2 linked regions of the Oryzias latipes genome follow. The protein of the gene in region 1 purifies or fractionates together with the protein of each later gene. This does not show direct contact. Links are inferred from orthologs where the notes say so. Each region holds a gene or a part of one and is shown in the gene's direction. Other genes may lie near its edges. The genes, in order: mvp and cop1.

Region 1 (4,374 bases):
GCTGCTTTTTTTTTGAAAGAGGAAGCAGTGAACAGCTGTTCTTCTTTTGTTTTCTTTAATGTAAGAAATGCAAGTTAACCTTAAGCTGAATATACATTTACATGTTAAAGGTGGTCTTTCTTTCAAGAGAAGGGCGGACACAGGAGTGTTGTTTCCACAGCTGTCCAGCAGAGGGCGCACAGAGATTCCTAATCAGAAGTTCAAGCCTCCAAACTATTGAGGATTTCCTTTATGTATTTAATGAATTAAAGCTCATTTAAATAAAGAATTAGAATCTGATGTTGCTTTTCTGGGATGTTTCACCCTGCAGGCCTCAAAGATAAACTCCATAACGATGACATAAAATCCTCCAAAAAGGATCATTAAGGTCTGTTCTTTAAAGCTAAATCATCTAAAGATGACAAACCTGGAGAAGCTGCTAAAGTTCATTTTAGAGCTTTCAAAAACAGCAGGATTCATGGGAATGCTACAAAAAGCTGCTAGATCAGTCAGATGAAGACCAACTAAAGTGAGGAAAATACTTCCAGCGTCTTTGGAGCAGAAATGTTCTGGATGTTTCAGGAGGAGAACGTTTTAAGGAACGTTTATTTCTGAAGCAGCCTCCTGTTTCAGGAACTGTAAAGGAAGAAGCTCCGATCTCCAGAAGAACCAGCCTGTTCATCCAGAACCTGGGATCCTTTTCCTGCAGAAACTCTGACGGGTTTCCGGATCCAAATGCAGGCAGAACTTCCTGACCGGATGAGGTTCTGGATGCAACAGACCAGCTTCTCCTCGACTTTACTGGAACTGTTCTGTAGAGCCGACAGACCCGCCGTGACGTGGTTCTGGTGCGGTTCCTCTGAGAAGAACCAGTTTTCCTGCGACGTGGAGTAGAACCAGCGCGTTCCGTCTGCTCTGAGAGGAGAACTTTGTGGGTCAGCAGGGCTGCTCCTTCCTGGTTCTGTTTCCAGCTCTCCCTGCACGATTACCTGGACCAGGTGTGTTCCTTCAATCAGAACCCGGAGACATCCGACCGAGCTCATCAGCGGGGCTTGGAGATCTGGAGGACCAGAACTGAGCAGGTCTGTCTTACAGGAACTGTCCTGGTTCTGGAGGATCCGGCGCCTGTTTAGAACAGAATTGACCCGATTTCCTGGGATCCGTGAGGAGCTCAGAGGACGGCAGCGTCCTACGTTTTATTCCTTCGATGGTTCGAAGGAATAAAACTCGGACCGGATCCACCCTGATCCACCTTCAGGACGGATCCCAAGACGTGGAGGACAAACCCCAGAAGAGAAGATGATCATTTCAGTCAAACATGTTTTCTTTTTCTGAACTGACTGATTTTGTTTAGATTCTGTTATAAATTTGCCTGAAAACTTTAACTTTTTCTTTCCAAACAACTGAAGTTTCCATCCAAACATGGATGATACACTTTAGTAAATGCGCATGCGCACGATGACTCAGGGTAGCTTGTCTGTAAATGACGTCACAGCTGCTCCTCTTGCGCAGCAGCCACGCCCACTGCTCCAGACAAACTCTGCGCTTGTTCAGCTGTCAGTCTCCGACGATCCGGACCGGACAGCGGACCCTCGGAACCAGCAGCAGCCGCAGAACCGCGAACCGAGCCAGGTGAGCGGTCGCAGCGAAGCCGCAGCTTTTAGGGAAAAGTTCTGCTTGGTTCGCGGGTCCGGTTCCGTTCGAACTGAAACCGCTTCGTTGCTGCGCAGCGTTCTTTACTCCCACGTCTGTTCAGGACCGGAAGTTCCTGCTCACGGTGTTTGAGGAAATGCTGCGCGTGCACGCGCCGCAGCTATCTCTGTAATCTTGACTCTTAATCCTGACGGTTCTGCAGAACCTGCAGGAAGAACCGGACCACTTAAAAGTTCTTCTAAGTTCACTTGAAGGTCCGAGAAAAGTTCTTGCAGCTTCGGCCCGGTCTGGTCCAGGTCCGATCCGGTCCAGGACTGTTTCCGCTGATGGTCCACCTGGTTCTGCAGGTGTGAACGTTCACCCGAACCATTTGGACCAATCGGAACTCTGGTTCTCTGGAGAATAAATGCCTCTGTTCTCCTGCAGATGAACTCGGTTCGGTTCACTTCAGTGAACGCAGACGGACTAAAGAGGAGCAGAACCAAACTTTGGGTCCAGTTTCTGACTGGGTCATCAGAACTGACCATAGGGGGCGGAGCCTCAGCCTTCATCCACATTAGCGGAAAGACTGAAGGAGAAGTTCAACCTTTACCTGAAACTCCTTAAAGCAGAAACGACTATTTCAGTCCGCACGCGCTCGGTCCGCACGCGCCTGGTCTGCACGCGCTCTGTTTCTGCACCCTGTTTTCGAAGAATTGGGTCACGTGACCCTTCCTGGGATCTGGCCCCTCCTCCGTCACAGGGGCGAATTCTATGGATTTTTGCATTTTATATAAAGTTTCCGTGTTTGAATCCAAAGTCCAGACTGATCCTGATCCGGGATCCAGCGGAAGGTTCTGGTCATAAGAGCTGGTTCTGAAGCAGAGTTCTGGTTCTGGGGTTTGGCTTTCTGAGAACTGCTCCTGAGGTTAAAGCTCAGCTCAGGTGTGTCAGACAGGTGTGTTTGAACAGGAAGGACCATTTCCATACGGTCGGTCAGTTCTGTCCTCCTGGATGTAGGCGGTTCCTCTGAGACTCCCCACCCCCACAGGTTAATTTAGTCTTTCAGGAACGTTCACCTGAGAGCCTCACCTTTACCTGCAGCTGACCAAAGGTTCAAAAGCCGCCTGCGGTTCAGGAGACTGGTGGTGGTGGTGGGGGGGTAAATTCTTCTTTCGGGGTGGGGCACGTTGGTCCGTACCTGCTCCAGTGGCTGTAAGGTGTTTTTCTCCGCAGCGTTTCTCACCTGAAGTCAACCAACCAACCAGGATGGAGAAGCAGACGGAACCGTCCATCATCCGGATCCCCCCCCACCACTACATCCACGTCCTGGACCAGAACACCAACATCGCCCGCGTGGAGATCGGACCTCTCACCTACATCCGCCAAGACAATGAGAAGTCAGTAAGCGCCCCCTGCTGGCCGTCTGGGTGGGTGTGACGGTTACATGAGCGTCTGCTGTGGTTCTGCTCAGAGTTCTCTTCCTGCCGGTCCGGATGATCATGGTTCCGCCCCGCCACTTCTGCGTGGTGTCCAACCCCGTGGCCCGCGACGACGACAACCAGGTCCTCTTCGACCAGTCCGGACAGGCCAAGCTACGGCACGCGGACCTGGAGATCCGGCTCACCCAAGACCCCTTCCCGCTGTACCCGGGGGAGGAGGTCAAGCAGGTGAGCAACCCCCCCCTGAACAGCAGAACCGACCCGGACCCGCTTTCACCTCCGCCCTCTGCTTTCAGGCCGTGACGCCGCTGCAGATCGTCTACCCGGACACGGCGCTGCGTCTGCAGGCTCTGCTGGACTTTGAGGACGACGAGGGACTGAAACGGGTCGCTGGAGACGAGTGGCTGTTTGAGGGTCCCGGTACGTCTGGTCTGTGTGCGCAGCGTGGGTTTGATTCCTGAGGTTTCACCGCTCCAGGATTCTACAGTCCGGTTTCTGTATCAAAAGGACTTTTGCTGGTTTTGCTCCTGTAGTTTGAGGAGTCAAAGGAAGAGTTGTGACCCCGCCCACATCTACTCTGTATTGAACCCTTTAACACCAGAGCTGCCGCCGGCCACGCCTAAAACACGCTCTCTGACATGACGGTCTGTGAGCCTTTGTGTCGTGGAGAAAGCGGCTCGTCTTATTGTTATGTCACACATTACTGCGGTAAAGTAACGGCGTGACGCCGCTTTAGCCTCACAATCTGCGGATTCCCGTTAATTGTTGAAAGAAGGTCAACAGCGGCGCTGAAACTCCGGCGCCAAAGGGCCGCCAAAGTCTTCAGAGGTTGGTTTGGGTGGAGGTGCAGCGGAGGGAAACGTCCGGCTGTGCGGGAACGCCGTTTGACGTGTTCCCGGTTCCTCTGTTGGCTTCAGGGACCTACATTCCCAGGAAGGAGGTGGTGGTTCTGGAGACCATCAAGGCCACCGTGATCCGGGAGAACCAGGCCATCCGACTGAGAGCCCGCAAAGAGGGCAAAGACCGGGGCGGCGTCCAAAGAGTCACAGGTAACACCCCCCCACCAAAACCCAGACACTGAGCAGATCAGAACCGAGAGGTTTTGAGGAGCAGGAATGAAGAACATTACCGGTCCATACCGGTCCATGCTAAATCCCCTTTCCCATCCAACCCCCCATTGATCTTCTGGAGTAGTCTGTGTCCAGAGGTCAGGCTATGGGGGGGTGGGGGTGTTAGTTCAAAGGTCTGGATCAGGACAACAGAACCGATCCGTGACTGACCCGAGTTCCTCTCATCCAGGTGAGGAGTGGCTCGTCAGTAA
Region 2 (4,551 bases), on another chromosome or scaffold:
GGCTGAATGGGCGGGCTCCTCCGGGGCCTCACCCCCCACTGCAAAGGACCTCCACAGATTATCCTTCATCTGAGTTTGTCCGTCTTGACCTCAACAACCCTGAGGCCCGCTCTCGGCCTGCCCCCCTGTTTTTCCCTCTCCTTTCATACGCATCACCCCCCTCCCTGTTTCCCCTCTTACCTCTCTGTTCCCCTGTAACATCCAGCTGTACCCCGTTGACACAGCCACACACATTCACCCAGAACACGCACAATCCTCGTTCAAAAAAAATTGGGGGGACCCAAAAGGAGAAAATCTAGGCTGATGTGCAGCACAAACGAGGTGGGGGGAAGAAAAAGAAGAAAAAAAAGGGAGAAAGAAAGAGGGCAAGCCTTTCAGAAAAAACAGTATTAGATACAAAGGGGAGAAGGAGCTGTGCTGGGGGGGATGCAAACACAATATATGCTGCAGGTGTTTTGCCCAACGAGTGAAGAACTTAAGGTGCACACACTTTTGGTTTCTCTCACCTCATAAGTAACTCCCGGATTTCATGGGCAGCCCGTCTTTAATGATCTGTTTTTTGCCTCCGATCTGCACTTTCAAAAGCATTTATTAGAGGCCCAGAAAACATATTTTTTATCGCTGGTTCTTTTCAGTGTAATTCATGTATTTATTTAACGAATTGGTAACTTTCCTCTAGCTGAAAACCTTATTTCATGGTCTAACTGAGCCACTTATGGATACATGTAGACCTCTTCCACAAACAAAAACATGGGAAAATCTGTGCCTGAGCAGAGGACCCCCCCCCCCCCCCCCCTTATTTGTTCACATGGAGGTAAAGATGGAAAAGCAAGGAGCAGGCTGGATAAACTTTGAGTGGGAATATGTTAGTGCTGCTTGGGTTTTATTTGCAGAGCTGCAGGTGGATGGTTGACAGACACAACCCTGTATGTCTTGGCTCTGTCACCAGTAGCACCTTTTTTTAAAGTGACCTACCTGCTTGTTTCTGTGCAGGTAATTCAATAAAGGATACCCTGGATCTGTAAGAGATGAATGAAAAATGTAATCCAAACAAAAAACACCCGCTTTCAAAGAAAACAAACATGATTTAATTACATTAAGGTCCCTTTAAATCAGATTTTTGAACAACAGTCAAAGCAAAATACATAGGCAGTATTTACCTGGAATTTGTAGTAGTACACTGATATTTAAAGAGTTTCCTTTAATAAATAAGAATAGGTACCACTTCATTTTTAAGCCCAATGTAAAAATGCTTAAATCAGTTCGGAGTGATTTTTTTTATCATTTTTCCCCCTTTTCATTAGTTTTATATTTTTAACTGAATGTGTTGATTAGTAAATGGGTTCCCACCAATGTATCATTCTTTTAATGAAAATAATCATCTATATTATTAGAAATTGTCATTTATTCCCACTAATAAAAGCACAAATTAATAGTCTGATAATTGGTATTTTTATTTATTATTATTTTTATTGTTTTTGACTCTTGGTTAACACAATATTATTATTAATAATATGTGCGTTTTAAGGTTTTTAACAGATGTAATATATGTCTATGAACCGCCCCTCCGCTAGGGGGCAGTGAAGGTGCGAAACACCAGAGCACAATACGCATCTGGGTGGTAGAAGAAGCCCAGCGGATCACTCTCTGCTGCTAACAGTCGCCAACCGGCTAATCTCCTGGACAACGCAGTTTGAAGTTATTTTAATCCCAGTTTTCTTTATTGCCTCTTTTTTTTCACACCTTATAATCAAGCGACTTTATAAAACGTTGCCGGTGATAAGTGCTAGGTACCCACCGACGGACAAGTTTAATCACACTATATGTTTTTGACGCTGTTCCTTCCACCGAGGATGCTAGCGCATGATAAGCAAGCCAGCTAGCTTGCAAATCTGAAGGAGCGAATAAGCAGCGCTCTGGATGCTTTGAAGTGCAGCGAGTTTTTGGATGAGTTTTTTGTTGCATCATGTCAAGCAGTCGGACGCAACAACAAGGCGGCGGTGGTGGCGCGAGTTCAGTACCCAGCACCAGCAATAGCAGCAGCGGCAATGCGAGCAACGCCGTAACAAGCAATGGGAACAATTCTGGAAATGTTGTGCCCTCCCGGACTCTGCCCGCAGCCGGAGAGGGGGGCTCGTCTGTGCCCTCTCTGGCCACTGTACCGTCGTCCCGGGGCGGCTTTGCTTCCCTCAACAGACCCTCTGCGTCCTCAGGCAACAGAAGGAAATCCCTTCACCAGGCACCCTTATACAACGGCCTCTTGAATTCTTATGAAGATAAAAGCAACGATTTTGTCTGGTTAGTTTTTTTCCAGGAATTATTTCAAACTGTGCTTTAAGATTCCCACTCCAAACGGTGGATTTTGAAATGTTGATGTCCAAATGTTTTACATGGTTTTTCTGTCAAAACAATTTCAGTCCCATTTGCTTCGAAATGATAGAGGAGGCGCACATGACCAAGTGTGGACACAGTTTCTGGTAAGGGTTCATTGTACATGAATGGACAGTTTGTCAGTCAGTGTGTTGAACTTGCTGATCAAGATAGCTGTGTAAAAAGGAAATATTTTCAAAATGTTAAACATTCTAGTTTTATGTTTTGGAAGACAAAAAAATTAATCAACTCCCCCTCACATATTTACAGCACTACAAATTTAAATTTGTCAGCTGCAACCAAAATACTACTTTGATAGTTTTATTGCTTGAAGTTTGTTGCACAGTTGGGGAATGTTTTCAAGTATTCCTCTTTTGCTTTTTACCCCTCTTGCAGTTACAAGTGTATCCGCCAGAGCTTGGAAGACAGCAACAGATGTCCCAAGTGTAACTATATTGTTGATAATGTGGATCAGCTGTTCCCAAACTTTTTAGGTGGGTATTGTGAGTTGGTGTTGCGCTTCACCACCTGTTGAAGTCTGTTTGAAGACTTGTTTTTCGAAACTTTTTTGTGTTGAGTTTGCATGTTCTCCCCGTGCACGTGTGGGTTTTCTCCGGCTTCCTCCCACAGTCCATAAACATGCGTCATAGGTTTTAGGCTACATTGGTTACTCTCTTAATTGTCCATTGGTGTGCATGTGTGTTGGGCTGATTGTATGGCAAACTTGGCCCAACAGTAGCCAGGACATGCTCCAGCCACCCCGTGACCCCGAAAGGGATACAGTGGGTTAAAAAAAAGGATGGGTGGATTAATGGATCTCTCAATTATTGGTGGTTATTAGGAATGCGTTGATTCACTTAACCAATGATTGGGCTCAAACTGCAATTTTGGATCACAGTTTTGTTTCGGTTCAATGTATAATTTGTGTATTACAAACTGACAACAAAAAACTAATAATACTAAAAAAAGCTGTCTTTTTAATTTGCTAAAAAAAATTATCAAACTCAAACTAACTCCAGGCTAATCTAAGAAAACATTACATTCAAAATTCTTCTTAAATTTATCACATAAATAAACTGGTATACAGTAGGGATACAATGATTCTCTCTCCCCATGATTATGCAAAAGTCCCACTTCAATCATCTTTTGATGCCGTGTAAAATCGTCTTTTAATTACGATTATGCCGTTTTAGCCACACAAAAAACTGTCGTTTTCTAGGACATAGTTTCTGCAGAACTGCAGTAGTTCATCAGAAATCTGCCTCCTAGTTGTGGGCGGGACCGTTGGCCTGGTGTAAGCTGCAACACTTCCCTTCAGGCTTTTCTTTACAAATTCTCCCGCTAGCTCACAGCAGTAAGCTAGCGTACAGTTTTGAGCCAGATGCCAGCTCAGAAGAGGCAAAGACACATCTGTACATGGATTTAGTCATTTACCAGTTCGTTCATCAGAAAGGAGCAGAGTAAGGAGCTTTGGGCCCATCGATTGAAGATTTTGACATTATAACTACAAGCTTTTTCAAATGGGAACGTTTTTTTCTGCTCCTAAATCTCAACGATTTAAAGAATAAAGACATATTGGGAAATGCTTCATTTTTAGTTAGGAATATCCTCCATTCATGAGGAAAATGAACACCAAAAGCATGATTTTCACTGGAGTGGGACTTTAAATTTAAGCCCAACTTTGAACTTTAACATACTGGTTTACAGTAGAGATGCAACGATTCTCGTTCCTTTGGTTTAATGGTGTAACATAGTTTTTGATCGAGAATTGTGACATCCCTGGTTGTTATCTAATTAGATCAAATGATGTCCGATTCATAGGTGAAGTTCACAGTGTTCACTTTGAACATCCTTGACACACTTTGCTGTGTTTGCTGTGTTCTTACCTATCCCAACCCTTTACTCTAGTAAACGAGCTGATCCTTAAACACAAGCAAAGATCAGAGGAGAAGAGGCTAAAATTAGACCATCCTGTAAGTACATTTCATAAATGCCTTTATTTCTGTTTTTGTTTTTCTGGTATTTTCCAACCTGCCAGTGACTTCTCTGTGTTTCTGCGTTGTCGTCCACATGGTAGAACGGTTCTCGGTGGCAGGTCTTCCAGGATGTTTTGAGTCCTGATCAGGAAAACCTGGATCTGGCAAATGTCAATCTGATGTTGGAGCTTTTGGTTCAGAAGAA

What was found.
Region 2: the proteins of mvp (region 1) and cop1 purify together in Homo sapiens (affinity purification with mass spectrometry; 3 studies listed by BioGRID and IntAct, with this or other methods). This does not show direct contact. The link is inferred for Oryzias latipes from reciprocal best matches to the Homo sapiens genes MVP and COP1.

What each region holds. Positions count from the first base shown.
Region 1 is NC_019866.2:564,127-568,500, forward strand, and holds the start of mvp (major vault protein), read left to right. Parts: upstream 1-1,422; coding exon 1,423-1,611; intron 1,612-2,847; coding exon 2,848-3,011; intron 3,012-3,085; coding exon 3,086-3,281; intron 3,282-3,349; coding exon 3,350-3,473; intron 3,474-3,970; coding exon 3,971-4,102; intron 4,103-4,352; coding exon 4,353-4,374. UniProt on the Homo sapiens protein: Required for normal vault structure. Vaults are multi-subunit structures that may act as scaffolds for proteins involved in signal transduction. Vaults may also play a role in nucleo-cytoplasmic transport.
Region 2 is NC_019875.2:19,758,493-19,763,043, reverse strand, and holds the start of cop1 (E3 ubiquitin-protein ligase RFWD2), read left to right. Parts: upstream 1-1,612; 5' UTR 1,613-1,966; coding exon 1,967-2,298; intron 2,299-2,417; coding exon 2,418-2,477; intron 2,478-2,766; coding exon 2,767-2,864; intron 2,865-4,278; coding exon 4,279-4,343; intron 4,344-4,447; coding exon 4,448-4,551. UniProt on the Homo sapiens protein: E3 ubiquitin-protein ligase that mediates ubiquitination and subsequent proteasomal degradation of target proteins.